2 linked regions of the Rhinolophus ferrumequinum genome follow. The protein of the gene in region 2 purifies or fractionates together with the protein of the main gene of each other region. This does not show direct contact. Links are inferred from orthologs where the notes say so. Each region holds a gene or a part of one and is shown on either strand. Other genes may lie near its edges.

Region 1 (7,736 bases), on a different chromosome or scaffold from region 2:
GTACATTTATACAATGGAGTATTACTCGGCCATAAAGAAGAATGAAATCTTAGCATTCGCAATGATATGGATGGACCTAAAGAACATTACACTAAGTGAAGTAAGTCAGACGGAGAAAGACAAATACCATATGATCTCACATTTACGTGGAATCTAAAGAACAAAATAAATTAACAAACTAATCAGAAAGAGTCTCAGAGACGTAGAGAAAAAACTGAGGGCTGCTAGATGGGAAGGGGGTGAGGATGAGGGAGAAGGTGAGGGGATTAGAAAGCACAATCAGTAACCACAAAATGGCCACGGGGATACAAGAAGTTCGGGGAATATAATCAATAATGTTGTAAAGATTTTGTAGGGTATTTGATGGACACTTGTCTTATTAGGGAGATCACTTCATGGACGGTGTAGGTACCTGACCACTGCAGTGTACACCTGAAGCTGAAGCTGAAGCTGAATAATAATGAATGTCAACTATAATTATATATTTATATAAAGACATATTTATCATATGATTTCACTTATATATATATATATATAGTCACAGGATGTGGAGTACAGCATAAGGAACAGAGTCAGGGGAACTGTAACAGCTATATACGATGTCAGAGGGCTAGCAGACTGGGGGAGGGGGGTTATCACTTTGTGAGGGGTATAAATGTCTAAGTATTACATTGTTTTGTACACCTGAAACTAACCATAAAGTAAAATAGAAAATTAAATCTAAAAATTAAGCTTTGCTTATAGTTATGTAAACTTCTGTATTTTAGAACTGCTAGAGCTCATGTGCCTTCCTCGGTATCAGCTATAGGCCAATGTAAGGAAGATTAGCCTAATGTTTCCCCTAACTGGCAGGAATTCTAATGGTTCTGGCCCACTGTTACTTACATCCCTGATGAAGAGGCTCAGATCCTAGAGAAGGCCAGGAAATTTGTTTAAATGTCTTTAACAACCAAGACAGGAAAAGGAGGAATAAAGGAACAGTGAGACCAGAGGGTTTAAAAAAAAAAAAAAAAAGTGCCAATTGCCAGTTACAAAAACAGTCACAGTGATGTAAAGTACAGCATAGAGAATATAGTCAATTAATATTGTAACAACTATGTATGGTGTCAGATAGGTACCAGACTTATCGGGGTGATCACATTAAGTTATATAAATGTCTAATCACTACGCTGTGCACCTGAAACGAATATAATATTGCATGTCATCTGTAATTGAAAATTAAAAAAATAATTTTAGTGCCATTTATTTTACTGAAATCACATAATCTTCCCTGATTGGCTCATATCTACTGGGCAGAAATTTCTTCCAGTTAATTACATTTAGTATCCTTCCAAAAAAGTAAATTCCCTTTCCTTGAGCACCGAATGTAATAAACCTGATACAGGAAAATGAAGAGAAACTGAATCTCTCTAAAAAACTAATTGTCTACATACAGTGTTTGCTTCACTTTCCTTTTCCATGCATTCTACTTGATTACTTTTACCTTATTTCTAATCTTAAATCATTTGATCATGGATAAAGGATAAAAATAAAGATTAATTAGAAAAAGAGACCAATTGAGTTAATAAATCCCATTAAATCATTATAACTACCATTAATCATGCAATTTATGCTTACCCAAAGACCTTGTCTACTACACTGTAGATCATCCATCATTTTTTTTTAAAGTGGAAAGAGAGTTGCTTATTAGAAAAGATAGTACACTCTAAGAATTACTAGGAGCGGGCCAAGCACAAAGAAAAGCGGCTCAAGGTTCATTACTAGAAGAAAAAGCACACTCCAAAGTGTTTGGAGCCACCCGGGGGCAAAAGCAAGGCTCAAGAGGCTCAAAGGGCTCAAGAGCTCAATGGCTCAAGGTGGCATTATTAGGAGAAAAAGTACACTCCAAAGAGTTTGGAAAGGGTCGAGCAGAAGAGCTGCTCTAAAGGCACATCCATCATTTTTTCATCTCTTAAGAAACCTCCGAGAAACTTTAGGAATATAGCAATTTACATCCATGCTTTACAGAACTACCTTTACTGACCACAAAAACATGGCAAGAAACACTTGAACCAATTCCTGCACTTATTCTTCAAAATACCCAAACTCAACCTGCCCCCTCCGGCTCCCACGCTCCTCCAAAAATGGGCGTTCTAGAGTCAGACATCCTGTGTTCCAATTCTAGCAGCGTCACTTAATAAGGGACCTTGAGCAGTCTCGGTTTCTTTCCCTAAGAAATGGTAGTGATATTAACACCTACTTCATGGGGCTGTTGAGAGAATGAAGTGACATGATTCACGGTAAAGCTGTTAGAACAGTGCCTGGCACATAATGTGCACTCAATAAATGCCAGCCACTGTAATAAAATTTACTGTCTAGAGTCTATATTTTCTCCCTTTCAGTGATGAAAGTCTAACCAAACTCCATCAGGACAAGTGGGCATACAGACGGGATTTTCAAATTAACTCACACAAAAGCAGCAGTTTATACTCACAGTAATTTTGTTTTCATAACTTTCGCTTTTTTCATTTAAAAAAAAAAATTCGCGTGCAATTAAACACTCCGATCCCCCACGCTTTTAACCAGCGATATGTCTGGCCCCCAGTGGACAATACAGCCTGGAAATATCGTCAAGATTTTCATCAGCTATGGACGGGGCAACCTGACCAGCTGCTAAGTACATCTGGGAACCGGCAGTGCAAAGCAGGCCAAAGCGGCTTAGGGCTAGCGGCTACAGTCAGTTTACAGAAATAAGGTTCCTTTTTCCTATTTTCCTCCCCAGTACCGAAACTAATGACGCCCTGTTTTCCCCGTGAACCGAGGCCAAGCATCTTTCAGCTCTCTCATCCAACCCTGTTCTTCTCATTCCCATGATATCCACTGTCTCCCAACTCACAGAGTGTGTCCGCACACATTCACCATCAGCTTCAAGGAGGGGTTCCGGTATTTGGTGGTCTTACACCGGGGGCAGCCCTGATCGTCCATGGCACCTTCTTTCGTAGGGACTCTCCCCAACGCCGGCTTCAGCCACAGCTCCAGTCACCTCCAATCCCCCCTCAGACCCGACGCTAACCAGGTTCCTACCAACGGGCACTTTGCTGAGACGGTCCCTTAGCAAATGAGCACCGGCCGGGGGCAAGGCCCTGCAGCACAAACGTTCCGGCAGCGAGTTTTCCGGTCCTGTCGCTGGGGTTCCGTCTTCGCTTCCGAGAGCTAGCGCAATACCTTGGATTTCGGGGAAGGGCTTTTAAAATGGCAAATTGTACACAAAGCCTCATCTCAGTGCACCCAGCTGAATTTTTTTCAAGGAACTGTGTCACAATTAGGAACATAGATTCCATCTTGTTATGTCTGAAAACATTCCCCTGGCTTCAAAGATTTATGCCCGGTGTACATAGTAGATTCAATAATTCAAATTTGTATTTTCTTTTGAACAATTTGGTTAGTCTATACTTTATTCTTCTCCTTTATACTTGCACAGTCATGCAAGCACAGAAATACTATGCATTCGCAGATAGAAAGTTTGGAAAAGTTATATAGAATGAAAGTCTCTACACGGACCCCAAATGTTAGATTCTCACTAAATGTCAGAATAGTCTATAAATAATATCTGACATCTGCTCTGCAGAGATTAACAGTGTCACCTGGCCTACCGGCGTCACCTGGCTCTAATATCTCTGACCCTCCCCCCCATCAAAAACAATATTTATTTCCCCAAATACTGGGGTGGAAACCACACAAGAATATACACTATTAATTTCATTAATTCTAAGATTTGAGAGCCTGCATCTCTTTGGAAATGGTAAGCCACATTCACTGCATTTATCAAGACTGCAAAGTGACGTCTGTAAACAGCTCTATTAGATAATAAACTCCTGTAAGGGCACATCTTATTCACTTCATAACAAGGATTTGTTGATACTTACTGAATGAGTAAATGAAAAATGAATGAATGACCATCAAATTGTAGTGTAATGTGAAAAAAATTATGCCAACCATTATCTTGTAATTTGGCCCAAATTCCATCAGAAGTGGGCATGCAGAAAAAGCTTTTCACATTAACCCACACAATGAATACATGCTGTATATACTCATAGTAACAAACTTTCCATAGCATTTTTGCTCTTTTCAATAAAAAGGAACATTCCAACTCCCACCTTTTTTAAACAGTGAACCTAGTAAGCAACTCACAGTGTGGAAATACAGTTGGGGTTTCCATGGGTTATGAAGGCAGAACCTGACAAACAGCTCTAGATACCACATTTGGAAATCAGCAGACCAAACAGGCCATGGTAGCACAGAGCTTTATATAGACAACAGGCCATGGTAGCACAGTACTTTATATAGACAACAGGGATTCCCCTAATAAATAAATCATGTCATCTGCATCATAATATTGTTCATTAATAGGAGTGAACCAAATTGAAGTTTACTAAAATGGGTAATGCCAACTGCTGTACTGACCTGGAAGCTTTCTATGCTGCTGTTGTCTTATTGAAAGAGACCACATCCAAACCAGTTATATGACTCAGAGTGAAGCTCTCTAAGAATAAAGGCAACTTTTAGGATCTTTATATTTTAACAGAATAGGAAACTTCTGGTGGAAGAGTGAATATGGTCACTGAGCAAATACAATTTTTAGCCAATACTACATTACTACAATAATCATGGAGCTAGAGACAGTAGAAAGTAGTGTATGTGGATTTGGCTGGATTAAAGTATAGGCTTCATCACTTACTAGCCACGTGACCTCAGGCCTCAGTTTTCCCAACTATAATTTGAGGATAAATAAGATATTTCATTTAAAGTGCTTAACACAGTACTTAGCAGAGAGTAAGAGTTCAATAACTGTTAGCCATTATTCTTAGTGGTATGAGTATTATTAGCAGTAGTAGCCTTAAAAAGCAGGGTAATGTAATGGGAAGAGCCTATCCTTTTAAATCAGACAGACTGATTTTGCCCCAAATTTCTTACTCGCCCTTACCTGCTTCCTTTGTCCATATAATACACTGCAGGGTTGCTGTAATGACTAAATTACATGACGTGTACACATACAAAGGCCCTACTATAATGCTTCATACATAATAGAAACTCTGAAATGTACACCATTATTACAGGTGGGGTTCACTAACATAGAATGGTCAGAAAGCTTTGAAAAGGAAAGCACTGACAGCATCAGACTTCTGATTCAAAAAGAACCTCAGCCTATGTTAAAACCACCAAACTATCAAGCTTTCTATATTTCTGAAGACAGACGTATCCCAACAATGAACCAATTGAACCCGTTATTTCTCTTCCCAAATCTGCTCATGATCTAACATTCCTATCTCGGTTAAGAGTAAATTCTACTTCTTGGGGCAGTGTATCTCAAATGCAGACCCTCCTTCCCAGTCCCAAGGCTATGGATCTACGTTGGGCTTTCCTCATCTGAAGGGCACATTTGTATATTATCCCTCGCCCATCTTACAGAAAATCGATCCTCTCCCACAGGCTTCTGGTGTTCTAATGGGCCTACCAACACAATGCTGGCTCTCTGGCCTAGGGGTTGACATACAACCCTTCCAGGACCAATCAGAAATCTTCCCTAGAATTTTTCAAATTAACAGTAAGGGGAAAGCAGCAGAGCCTCTTTAATGAAGTTGGAAAATGTGAGCTGGGAATTACTGAGAGCCATGGTTCCAAACCTTCTGGGGACAGCCTCTTTGAAAGACTAAAACTAACTTGGTGAGAAAGGCAGAGACAAGTGACATGGGACAATAAATCTTCAAGTCCAACCAGCTGTATTTCTGCTCTTCACATTGTTTGGTATCATGATCCAATAAATTAATCTTTTTTTCCTAGGAAAATTCAAATGGGGTTTCTTGCTCCTAGAGAAATTCATACGTATTACCACAAAAAGGCAAGAATGCTGCTGTATCTCAGAAATGATGATAGGACCTGACACTCATTCCATCTCTGCCAGGATTTTTCCCTACACTATCACCCATGCAACTCACTAAGTCACCCTCTCTCTCACCTCGTGCTCATCAGCATCCCACAGGTAGATGGCTTAGTCACTGAGAACTTCCAAGCATTACATCGAAGCTTCCCTCTACCAGTCTTAACTCTTTTCCTCATGCAAGTTTGAAAAACCCCAGAAAAGGATTCTGACTGTTTTGGCTTGAGGCAAGTGCCCATCCCTGGACAAATCAACTGTGGCCATCATATTATGCAGACATAGCCACTGTAAATGCACCGCTCTGTCCACTATACCACAGCAAACTGAGCGTTTTACTCAAAGTCCTTCATAGTTTGTCCCCAACATGCCTTTTAAGCTAATCTCCCACCTCACATTTACATAAAACACAACACTTCAGACACACTGAATTACCTCAATATTTCAAATACTATATACCACATACTTTCATGGCTCCATGTTTACTCATTTTGTTCCCTCTGCCTCTAATGAACTTTATCCTGTCCTCTCAAAATTCTTGTCCTTAAAGGCCCAACGAAAAATCCACTTCCCGTTGCCCTCCTCCTCTCAAAATCAGTCTCTTTATCCCCATCACTCCCATACCCTGTAAACTATTTACTTATAAATATGTCTTATCTCCCCCACCAGATTTTAAGCTCATGAGGGTCAGAGACCCCAATCTATTATTCATCTTTCCATCCCTCAGTACCTGATGCAATACTTTTTACTTACTGAGGACTCAATAAATGTTTGGCAAATGAATGATCTTCAGAAATGTTGGTTACATATCATCAACCATTGGTTACTAAGTAACAATGGAACACCTCCTCTACCTGAAAGATAAATGTAGCACCTAACGTTCTTAACAGTACCAGTAAATAAGCTTTCTGAAATAGAAAGAGCCCACCAAGATATAGTTATATGATCTTCCCTCTATCTTCCAGACAGCCAAAGTCAGCCTTGGAAAAGGAAATCTCTATTCATGGTGGCAACACAATTAAATATACTCAAGAAAAGTATAACATTTTGTGCTGAACCAAATTTTCTTCAATACACTAAAATGGCAAAACATTTCCGTATACTGTCATCACTATCTTCAGGCAAGGTGGAAAGATACAGAAACAAGCAGCTTGGTTCTCACTCTCACACAATCCCAGCCTCAACTCTGTTTTTCCAAATCACAACACAGCTTTGGACTGCAAATCAGCACAGCAGACTCAGTGTTCACAACATGGCAGACATAGGAAGTAGAAGCAAATATTCATTAATTTTACAAATAGTTTGGCAAAACCAGTGTTATGAGATTAACTCTACACATGCTCAAGTCTGGTGTCCCATTGTAGTTGACCATGTTTGGGTCAAGGGCGTCCAGTCCACTTTGAATTGCTGCCAGAATGAGCTCTGAGGCTCAGCCTGCTAAAGGAATCCGGAGCCTGGTGTTGGATTTCACTTCTGGTCCTACAGGAATCTCCTCCTGGAGCTATAGAATACCAATGTAGCTCAGGCTACAGATATCACAAAAGGTCACTGCTGCTTCTATATAATTTGTTGAACTTGGTGCTTGGGAGGCACTATATTGAAGACATGCAGAAACCCAAGACATGGTTTTCCAAGTCAATGCACTATATTTGATTGATGATACACCAGAAGAAGACTCCTCTATGACCTGAACTTGGATAGCCCCATAATATAGCCAAATGAATTTTCCTTAGGTATATACAATTGAAAAGTTTCCTACTTTGTACTATCAGGAGGAAGATAATAAACATTTAACAAAGATTAATTATACGCCAGGTGTTTT
Region 2 (8,137 bases):
AAAGGCCAAGGCCCATACCACCCTGCCTCTTCCCTAGAAGCCATGTATTTGGGTGCTCATACCTTCCTCTGGAAAACAAGCCCAAACTCACGAAGATGTTGCAGGAAGTTCAACAAAGAATCACTCATCCCTTCCACAGAATAATCCTGGGGAAGAGAGGTAGCAGCTGGGGTCCAAACACATCCCATGTCCCTCTCCCAAACCACAAGCTCGTTCCGTCTTCCCACCTCTGGCTGTTCCTTCTTACTTCACTCTATTGCCCCATAGCCCCATTGCCCTCCCCATCTCGCTCCCCTTCGGCCCACCCACCCGACCCCCCAGCTCCAGCCCCTGCTTACCTTGCCTAGAGTAGAGAAGCTGAGCTGGAAGAGGAAGGAGAGGATCTCCACTAGGTCCATGCCCCGACTCTAGGGAGGAATGGGCACAGACAAGGGGACGGGATGGGAGGGAGAAAATCAGGGAGCAGTCTGTAGGCAGTAATCTCTCGGTGTGTCCTGAGAAGAGCAGAGCACACCCACAAGCAGACGCTGCACTCCTCACCTGGGCTGTCTGTAGATACTGCAACATAAAGTACCAGAGCTGGGCAGGGGTGTCCAGCAGCAGGAACTGGAAGCCAGCAGAGGTAATGCAGGGAGGCTCTCCGGGCTCGGTACTAGACACGTGGAGAGGGACAATGGGACAGGTGTGCACAGAATGGCCACCAGCCCCACCGACCGCTCACGTCTGCTCTTGGTTTATCTCTCGCTGTACTCCACTCAGCTGTCCTTCTTCAACGCCCTCCAATCCTGACCCGCCTGGACACTCAGTTTGGCAGCGACCCAAGGAGATGGCAAAGCCGGGAGCTGTTGTGCCTCGGGCTTCCTCACCTCTTCATGAGCCCAGCCTGGCTGAGGAGCTGAGCCAAGTCCTGGCTGACAGCTGCACTGGGGGAGCCCACCATGAAGTGCAGGACCACCTGAGGAATGGAGGAGAATAGAGATGCCTCTGGGGTCCATGGGAAGCAGGAGCATAAGCAGAGACACACACAGAGTCGCAAGTTCTCACCTCCCATCGCTCCTCGGCGTACTTGTCAAGTGACGGGACATCCCGGGCATGCTTGTCTGGTCCCAGCTGACTCGTGTCATCAGACCAGGCCTTGCCCCTATGCCAGGATGGGCCAAGAGTAAGGAGCCCTGCCTGTGTCCCCTGCCCACTCCTCTGCCCTCTTTCTACCTTTGTCCCCATGGGCCATGAGTGGGAGGCATTCCCTACACCATGCATCTGGTCCAACTTATTGCTAAGGAGCTGCCAAAGGTGGAGCCCACAAGGTTCCAGAGAGGCCCCTAAGGAGTTCCCCGGCCTAGCTTAGGAGGAGATGGAGTGACATACCCACCCAGAAGGGCAATGCGCAGGTTCTGGCGGAAGATGGGGTTGAGGATGAGGCCCTGGAGACCACCAGGGAGCAGCTGGGTGTGCCAGATACGGAGGCCACTCAGCAGCCCTGTACTTTCCTCCTGAGCTCTGAAACAGAAGCAGAGAGGTGACAGGTGTGTCTGGAGAACAAAAAGAAGGCCCATGAAGGCCTCCATTTCTGCTTTTGAACTAGTAGTCCTTGGATTACTGTTTCACAGAGTGAAATCAATGTCTTAAGGCAAATTTCTTTACTGTAACGCCTGCCAGAGCCTTGTTATAGACCTCACAACTCTCCAAGAGGGAAAATACAGTATACAGTTTCCCAAACTTATTTAATTACAAGTCTTATGGTGTACCCATTAATCTTTCCTGAAAAATGTTCCAAGGAACAGCAGTTGGGGAAATCTAGCCATTGAGAAATTGGTATCTGGCTGGGAATACAGCACTCACTTGCTGAATTCCTTCTTTACCCACAGGGCTACAGCAGCTTGTGGCAGAGGCTGCTCCAGAAAGAGCATGCGCATCACCCAGTTCTTAGCCAGAGGTGGGAGCTCCCTGCAGGGGGAGAGGAAAAATGTTACTGTCAGCAACTGCCTTAGATCTGCATCTCTGCCCTCAACCTGTGTCTTAGCCTCTCAAACATCTCATCTCACCCTCCACCCCTTTACCAGTCTTGCTGCCCCAACAAACACCATCTGTTTTGGCCTGACACACTTTAATCTTTACGCCCTGTAGAACGAAGCTTCTATCCATGATAACTTATCCCAGTCTGCAGGCCCCATTACATTTCCCCACCATGGTCCCTGCTGTGAAGGGCACCCTCACCTGAAGACAGCCAGACAGGTGGCAGGGTGCCCATATAATCGGTCCAATACCCCAGGGCTCAGACCCCCTAGAAATTCCTGCAGATTCCTGCATTGTAGGTGTACTCGGTTCAGCCCACCCCTTGACGGGATGCTCTCCATCACCTGAAAGATGCAAGCGTTAGAAACGCAATCCCTCAATCCATGCCAGTGTCACCCCTCACCTTTCTCATTCCGATCCCAGATCCACTGGCCCCCACAATAACCCATCTTTTCTATGGTTCCCTTTTGAATGTCATTCATCTCCTCTAGTTTCTCCCAAACCTGACTGACTTCCCCTCTTTCCCTGCCTTCTCACCCCACTTCTGGCCTCAGCTCCAGTCTTCACTTGATTTCCAAGTAACAGAATTTTTCATTGTCCCATATTTGCAAAATCATTTTGTGTGCCAGTGATTGCTCATCTTTACTAAGCAGTGACAAAGAGACTTGTTTGAGCCCAATCCTCTCTCCCTACCACCTCTCCTGGTCGGATCTACTTATAAGCTCTACATCTGTCAGACCTTCCCATCTATTTCTTGATCCCACTTCTGCTGGGTACGGCAATAAACTACCTTTCCCCTCCATGTCTCCCGAATCTAATTCCACCTCTTTCCTCTCCTTTTCCCTCCTCCCTCCAAAGACCACTTCACCCCATTCAACCTGATCCATACCGTTCGACCTCCTAACTTCGCTACTTTCCTCCCATTCCTCGCCTCTTACTCAACTCGTACACTCCGCCACCCGCTCTCTCCCGGCCCCCTTACCACTCTGGGTCAGTTCCCCCTCGTGCACCCGAGTCTCAAGCAGTCGCTTAATCGGAACCAGGGCCTTGCACTGGCTCTGGGAAATAGGGAAAAGTATGGTGAAAATGAGAGAAAAAGATGGGGAGAGCGACGAAGGATTTCACAGACAGGAGTTCGGAGCAGGGGATTCAGAAGAGGAAAGAAAAAGTGGGTAGGATAAGAATGGGCGCTGCACTCGCCCGGCGCGGAGCACACTGGGAATTGGAGTTTTGTCCTTCCTCACCCCAGAGCCGGCTGAAGCGCGTCTGACTACAGCTCCCGAAAGGCACCGCGGGGAAACAGCGAGGAAAGAGCCTGGCCTTTCATTGAGAGAGCTCAGGACACCGGAGGCCGGGTCACTTGGTTCCGCGTCTCTCTCCACGCACGCCTCCAACGGCATGTCTAACCGACCGGTACGGGAGGCGGGACCCTGGGAGAAGAAGTACCCCGAGGACCTACTGGCGGAGGTGTGGAGACGGCTGGATGGTAAGGCGCTTAGTTTTAGACACGCACGAAACTGGGTTCCTTGAGCTCAGCTGATCCAGGTGAAATTGGCTTAAAGCGCTCTACAGAGCGTTTTCGCGAGTTAGGAGTTAACTGGATCTAGTTGCCACGTCCACCATGCTCCCGCCTCCCGTTTAGTTAAAAGATACTAGTAAATACAATTTTAAAAATTGTACGCTTTGATTTGATTTATGAACCTATTGCAGCGAAAGGGAAGGGAACGTCTTTAGCCAAGGCCGGAGCTACAGGCTTCCTAAGTTCTCATGAGGCAAGTTTTATTATTCGCATTTTACAGACCGGAAGACCAAAGTCTAGTGAGAGAAAATTTGCCCGCGATTGGACTAGAAAGTACCGAGGCAGGAATATTAAGTACATTTGCCAGGGACGAGGGACTAAAATGGTAATAAGGACTGTCTGTGTAAGACTTTGCCGTGCGTTGTAGCCCACCCATGTTTGTTTCATTGTTCCGTTTCTTTAGCAATCAATGTTTAAAATCCTCAAAGAATGCCACAAAACTGAGAAAGCTTCTTTGTGTTAAGTACAGTTAAAATTAGATTCTGGAAAGAAGTATTTGATAAAATGGACAAAATACAAAGAACTCTTACAAAGCAATAAGAAAAAGTAACATCACAATGGAAAGATTGACAAAATAGAAAATAGGCGATAAACAGAAGAAATACAAATGACTTCAAATGAAAACTCTCAACTTCACTAGTAATTTAGGAAAAGCAAATTAAAGAAACAATAACATATCCAATTAAAAAACGATTAAGGATTGACTACCTCGATGTATATGAGACTATGAGGATACTCATATACTTTTGTTGAAGGTTAATGGAAGCATGCTTTCTTAAGGGCAATTTGGCTGTATATACCAAGGATTTTAATGTGGCTATACTTTTAGGAATGCATCATACTGAAATTCTCCCACCTGGGTGCAAAGATGTTTATTGGAGTGTATCTGTTGTTGCATTATGAAAACAATGGAAACAGCCTAAGTGTCCATTATTAGGAGTTGGTTAGATGAAATGTGGATCGTTACATGTAGAATACTGGAGAACACTTAGAGAGGAGGTCACTATGCATACTGACAACTGCATACGACCTGTCATGAGGGGAAGAAACGCAGATTACAAAATGGCGTACACAATCCAATGCCATATTTGTAAGAAGCTTTCATGTGTGTGTAAAACTCAGAGAGGTCATTTTGATGGGAGCAAGCAAAGGAAGCTGGGTAGATCAGGTCACAGTTCTCTACAATGTGGGGAAAACTCGGGCTACACTGTCCAGAATAGGAGCCTAGCCACCTGTAGCTATTTACATTTAAATTAACTCAAACAAAATTTAAATTCAGTTCCTCAGTCAACATTAGCCCCATTTCAAGTACTCAGTAGTCGCTACTGATTGGATGGTGCAGATATAGACCTTTCCCTCATCAAGGAGCTCTGACCCCTGCTTGGAGGGATGCAGTGGATGAGGGCAGGTGTCTGATGGCAGGAACCAAGCAGACTGAGTTCCTGGAACTGGCCTTCAAGAAGAAAATCAGCGTGGTCTCCTGGGAGCTGAAATGCAGAAAGAGCCCCCTGACATAATAAGGCTATCCAGCTTGTGCTGAGAAAACTTCCTGTGATGTAGAGTTCATGACCTCCTCCCCTCAGGCAGCATCCTGGAGAGAGAACAGAGATCCAGGAGTCGTGGGCTGCTTCCCACCAGCTTCACCCTTTACCATTGTGCTGCCTTGGGCAAGTGGCTTAACCTAACAGTTTTCTTCTCTGTGAAATGGCAATAGTTTTAGCTACTTCCTATGTTGTGATATTAAATAAGATATGATATGTAATAAGCATGGCACCTGGCACATAGTAGATGCTCAATAAACATTTTCTTAACAAAAAAAAATGTAAAATGGCACCCCCGTAGTAAGTGCTATAAAGAAGCGAGTCCCGTTCTCTGAAAGCCTCAAGAGGAGATCTGACCTGGTTGGCAAGTTAGGGAAGGCTGCTGAAGGACAAGCAGGAGTTATCAAAGCAAAGACAGCAGGGAATTGTGTTCCAGATGGGGACAGCATGCTATGAAGTCCTTGTGGCAGGCAGGACTGAAAGGCCAGTGGTGCAAAGAGAGGGTGGGAAGGACCCACCCTGAAGATGGGGTGGGGGCGCTAAAGTTGGCCAAGAAGATTTTGTTCTTATTCTGATGTCAATGGGTAGCCATTCAAGGGTTTGAAATAACGGAATGAGGTCGGATTTCTGTGTTTTCAAGGTCACTGGCTGCAAGGACCAAACTGGAGCAAACTGGAGAGGAGCGGAAACAGATGCTAGGAGAGACCAGGCAAGATGGAGATGGGAAGAAATGAGGGATTGAAGGGAAAGTGGGGAAGCGAAATCGACAGAGCTACGTGATAGACTGGATTTGTGAGGGGAGAGTAGGGAAAAGGGTGTCGAGGATGATCCCCAGGTTTCTGGCTTGTGCAACTGAGTGGATAGTGCTGCCATTCAGTGAGGCAGGAGATGACATGGGAGGGGCCAGCTTGGACACGCTGAGACTGACAGATCTGCACTTCTCGGTGGACCTCTAGGTGGTTGCACAGCTTTAGAGCTTCATAGAGAGTTCTGAGCTAGAGATTCGGGAGTTCTCCGCTCACTGCACGGCTTCCATTGCTCACCATTATGCATTCTGGCTTCGAAACTCTTGACCTGTCAGTGCCCGTCTTAAATCATGGGTCACAGTGACCTGGCCAGCGTAGGTTTCAGCAGAACTCAGATCTGTGTCCTGGACCCCAACGGCCTATAATTCAACATAAGATTAAATTGTCTTTATTTTTATCCTCATTATCCAGTTGGCTCATTTTGTGACTATCAACCATGACCTTTGTTTCACATGGACTACCATCATGTCTTTCCTAATATTTGCAACTGATTTTTCTTTTTCTTTCTAACTTTGTTAAATGTTTTTTTGGTGGTTGTAGCTCATCCTTCCAAGCCTGAGATCATTTAGGCTCTTGCTTCTGGCTCCCAGCGAGACAGCTCACACCCATTGGGTGATTTACACACTTGATCAGCGTAATCCAGGGATTCTCCACTGGGGACTTCCAGACTCGTGTGTGTGTGGGGGGGGGGGGGGGCGTGTGTCCTAGAATGTGGGCTAGGAAAAAAACGACACATCTATTTTTATGAACCTCTAAATTTCTAACTGAAATTTAGCATTCCCTCCAAGTATGAATATGAGCAAAACCCTCAGTAGTGTTAGCGTGTGACTTACATTAATAGACATCGCAGCTATTTTCATATCTCACTGTAGTTGTAGAAATCTCAGAATGTCATTTATCGTTATACTATTTGGAAATGTCAGTAGTTGTTGCTAGATCTTGTTATTAAATATATTTAAAAGAACCACGTTAATATATAATTTTTTAACATTTTTGTAAACTCTTTCAGTTGACTTCCTCTATAATCATGTATCTATACATACACACCCTCCTTTTAATGGGTTTTAAAACATAATTCTGAGGTGGAATCAGATCTCGCCAGGCTGCCACAGGGGTCAGTGGGTCAAACGAGGTTAAGACTGGAGGCTTACTCCACCTCCCTCCCAGCCTCCTGCAGAGCTTGTGTTGGAGTTGACAAGGTTCATACATTCATGTGGGACCTCAGGTCCCACAAGCAAGGACCTGGCTTATGGAGACACAGAACACTATGTTGGGCAAAATACGTGGTAGGAAATGGAACGGGGAGGAGGAAAAAGAGAAGAAAATGGGATGGGGGAAGGGAGGGGCAGGAGGCAGATTTTACCAAAACCCCAAGAAACCTACTCACAGCTGTGGAAAACTCAACCTTTATTATTACCTGCCTAGTGCAGGGGATTAAAATTGCATTGAGCTAGATCCATATATTAGTGTAAAAATCTGTCTCTCTCCCCCCAAAAATGTACAAACCCAAGTGATTATAGAAAAACCAATGTGGCAGCTATGATAGAGATATCCAACCCCCGGGCCCTAGGCCTTTGCTCCCTCTTTCCCCCTAATCCCAGTATTTATTCCACAGAAACATACAGGCTTAGAGAAGTTCTAGCTACAACATGGCAGATGGGAGGTGGGGTTTGGGGGCAGGAATCAAGCCCAGGTCCAGTGTTTCAGAGGATGGAGGGGGAAAAGCCAAAGCTGAGGACAATTCCAGGAGTAGGCACAAGGGAACATCTTTCTCCCGTTTTTGTCCTCCTCACTCCACAAAATCTCAGCCAGTGGGGTCCAGTGTGTGCCAGAAAGAGAGAGGCTGCGGGGCACAGCCTTCCCTCCAGGAACCAGTGTTGTCCAAGGGGGCCCAGGTGCTCCAGGGGGCCATGTCCAGTGTCTGCCCTGTATTTGCCCCCACCCTCCCCAAGGGATGGCTAGAAGAGGTCCGAGACGGTCCCATCCACAGGGCCAGCTGGGTGGGTGGCAGAAGCTTCTAGAAGAGGAGCAGGAAGGGGGGGCAGGAGGAAGGGAGGTCATCAGCTTCCTGGCAGGCCCAGCCCACCTTCGGTCACACTGCGCCTCTCTCAGAGGTGAAGGGCAGTTAGGGGGAGAGTGGAGGTGCCATTAGCTCCTCTTCTTTGTGCCACTGGCTTCCCCGAAACCCTCCCTGA

What was found.
Region 1: the proteins of GTF2H4 (region 2) and MNAT1 purify together in Homo sapiens (co-immunoprecipitation; 3 studies listed by BioGRID and IntAct, with this or other methods). This does not show direct contact. The link is inferred for Rhinolophus ferrumequinum from reciprocal best matches to the Homo sapiens genes GTF2H4 and MNAT1.

The regions. Positions count from the first base shown.
Region 1 is NC_046289.1:34,221,839-34,229,574, forward strand, and holds the start of MNAT1 (CDK-activating kinase assembly factor MAT1), read right to left. Parts: upstream 3,083-7,736; 5' UTR 2,965-3,082; coding exon 2,876-2,964; intron 1-2,875.
Region 2 is NC_046286.1:1,466,788-1,474,924, reverse strand, and holds the start of GTF2H4 (general transcription factor IIH subunit 4), read right to left. Parts: upstream 3,205-8,137; 5' UTR 2,999-3,204; intron 2,361-2,998; 5' UTR 2,358-2,360; coding exon 2,218-2,357; intron 1,948-2,217; coding exon 1,843-1,947; intron 1,501-1,842; coding exon 1,369-1,500; intron 1,142-1,368; coding exon 1,045-1,141; intron 956-1,044; coding exon 867-955; intron 653-866; coding exon 541-652; intron 408-540; coding exon 339-407; intron 147-338; coding exon 63-146; intron 1-62. UniProt on the Homo sapiens protein: Component of the general transcription and DNA repair factor IIH (TFIIH) core complex, which is involved in general and transcription-coupled nucleotide excision repair (NER) of damaged DNA and, when complexed to CAK, in RNA transcription by RNA polymerase II.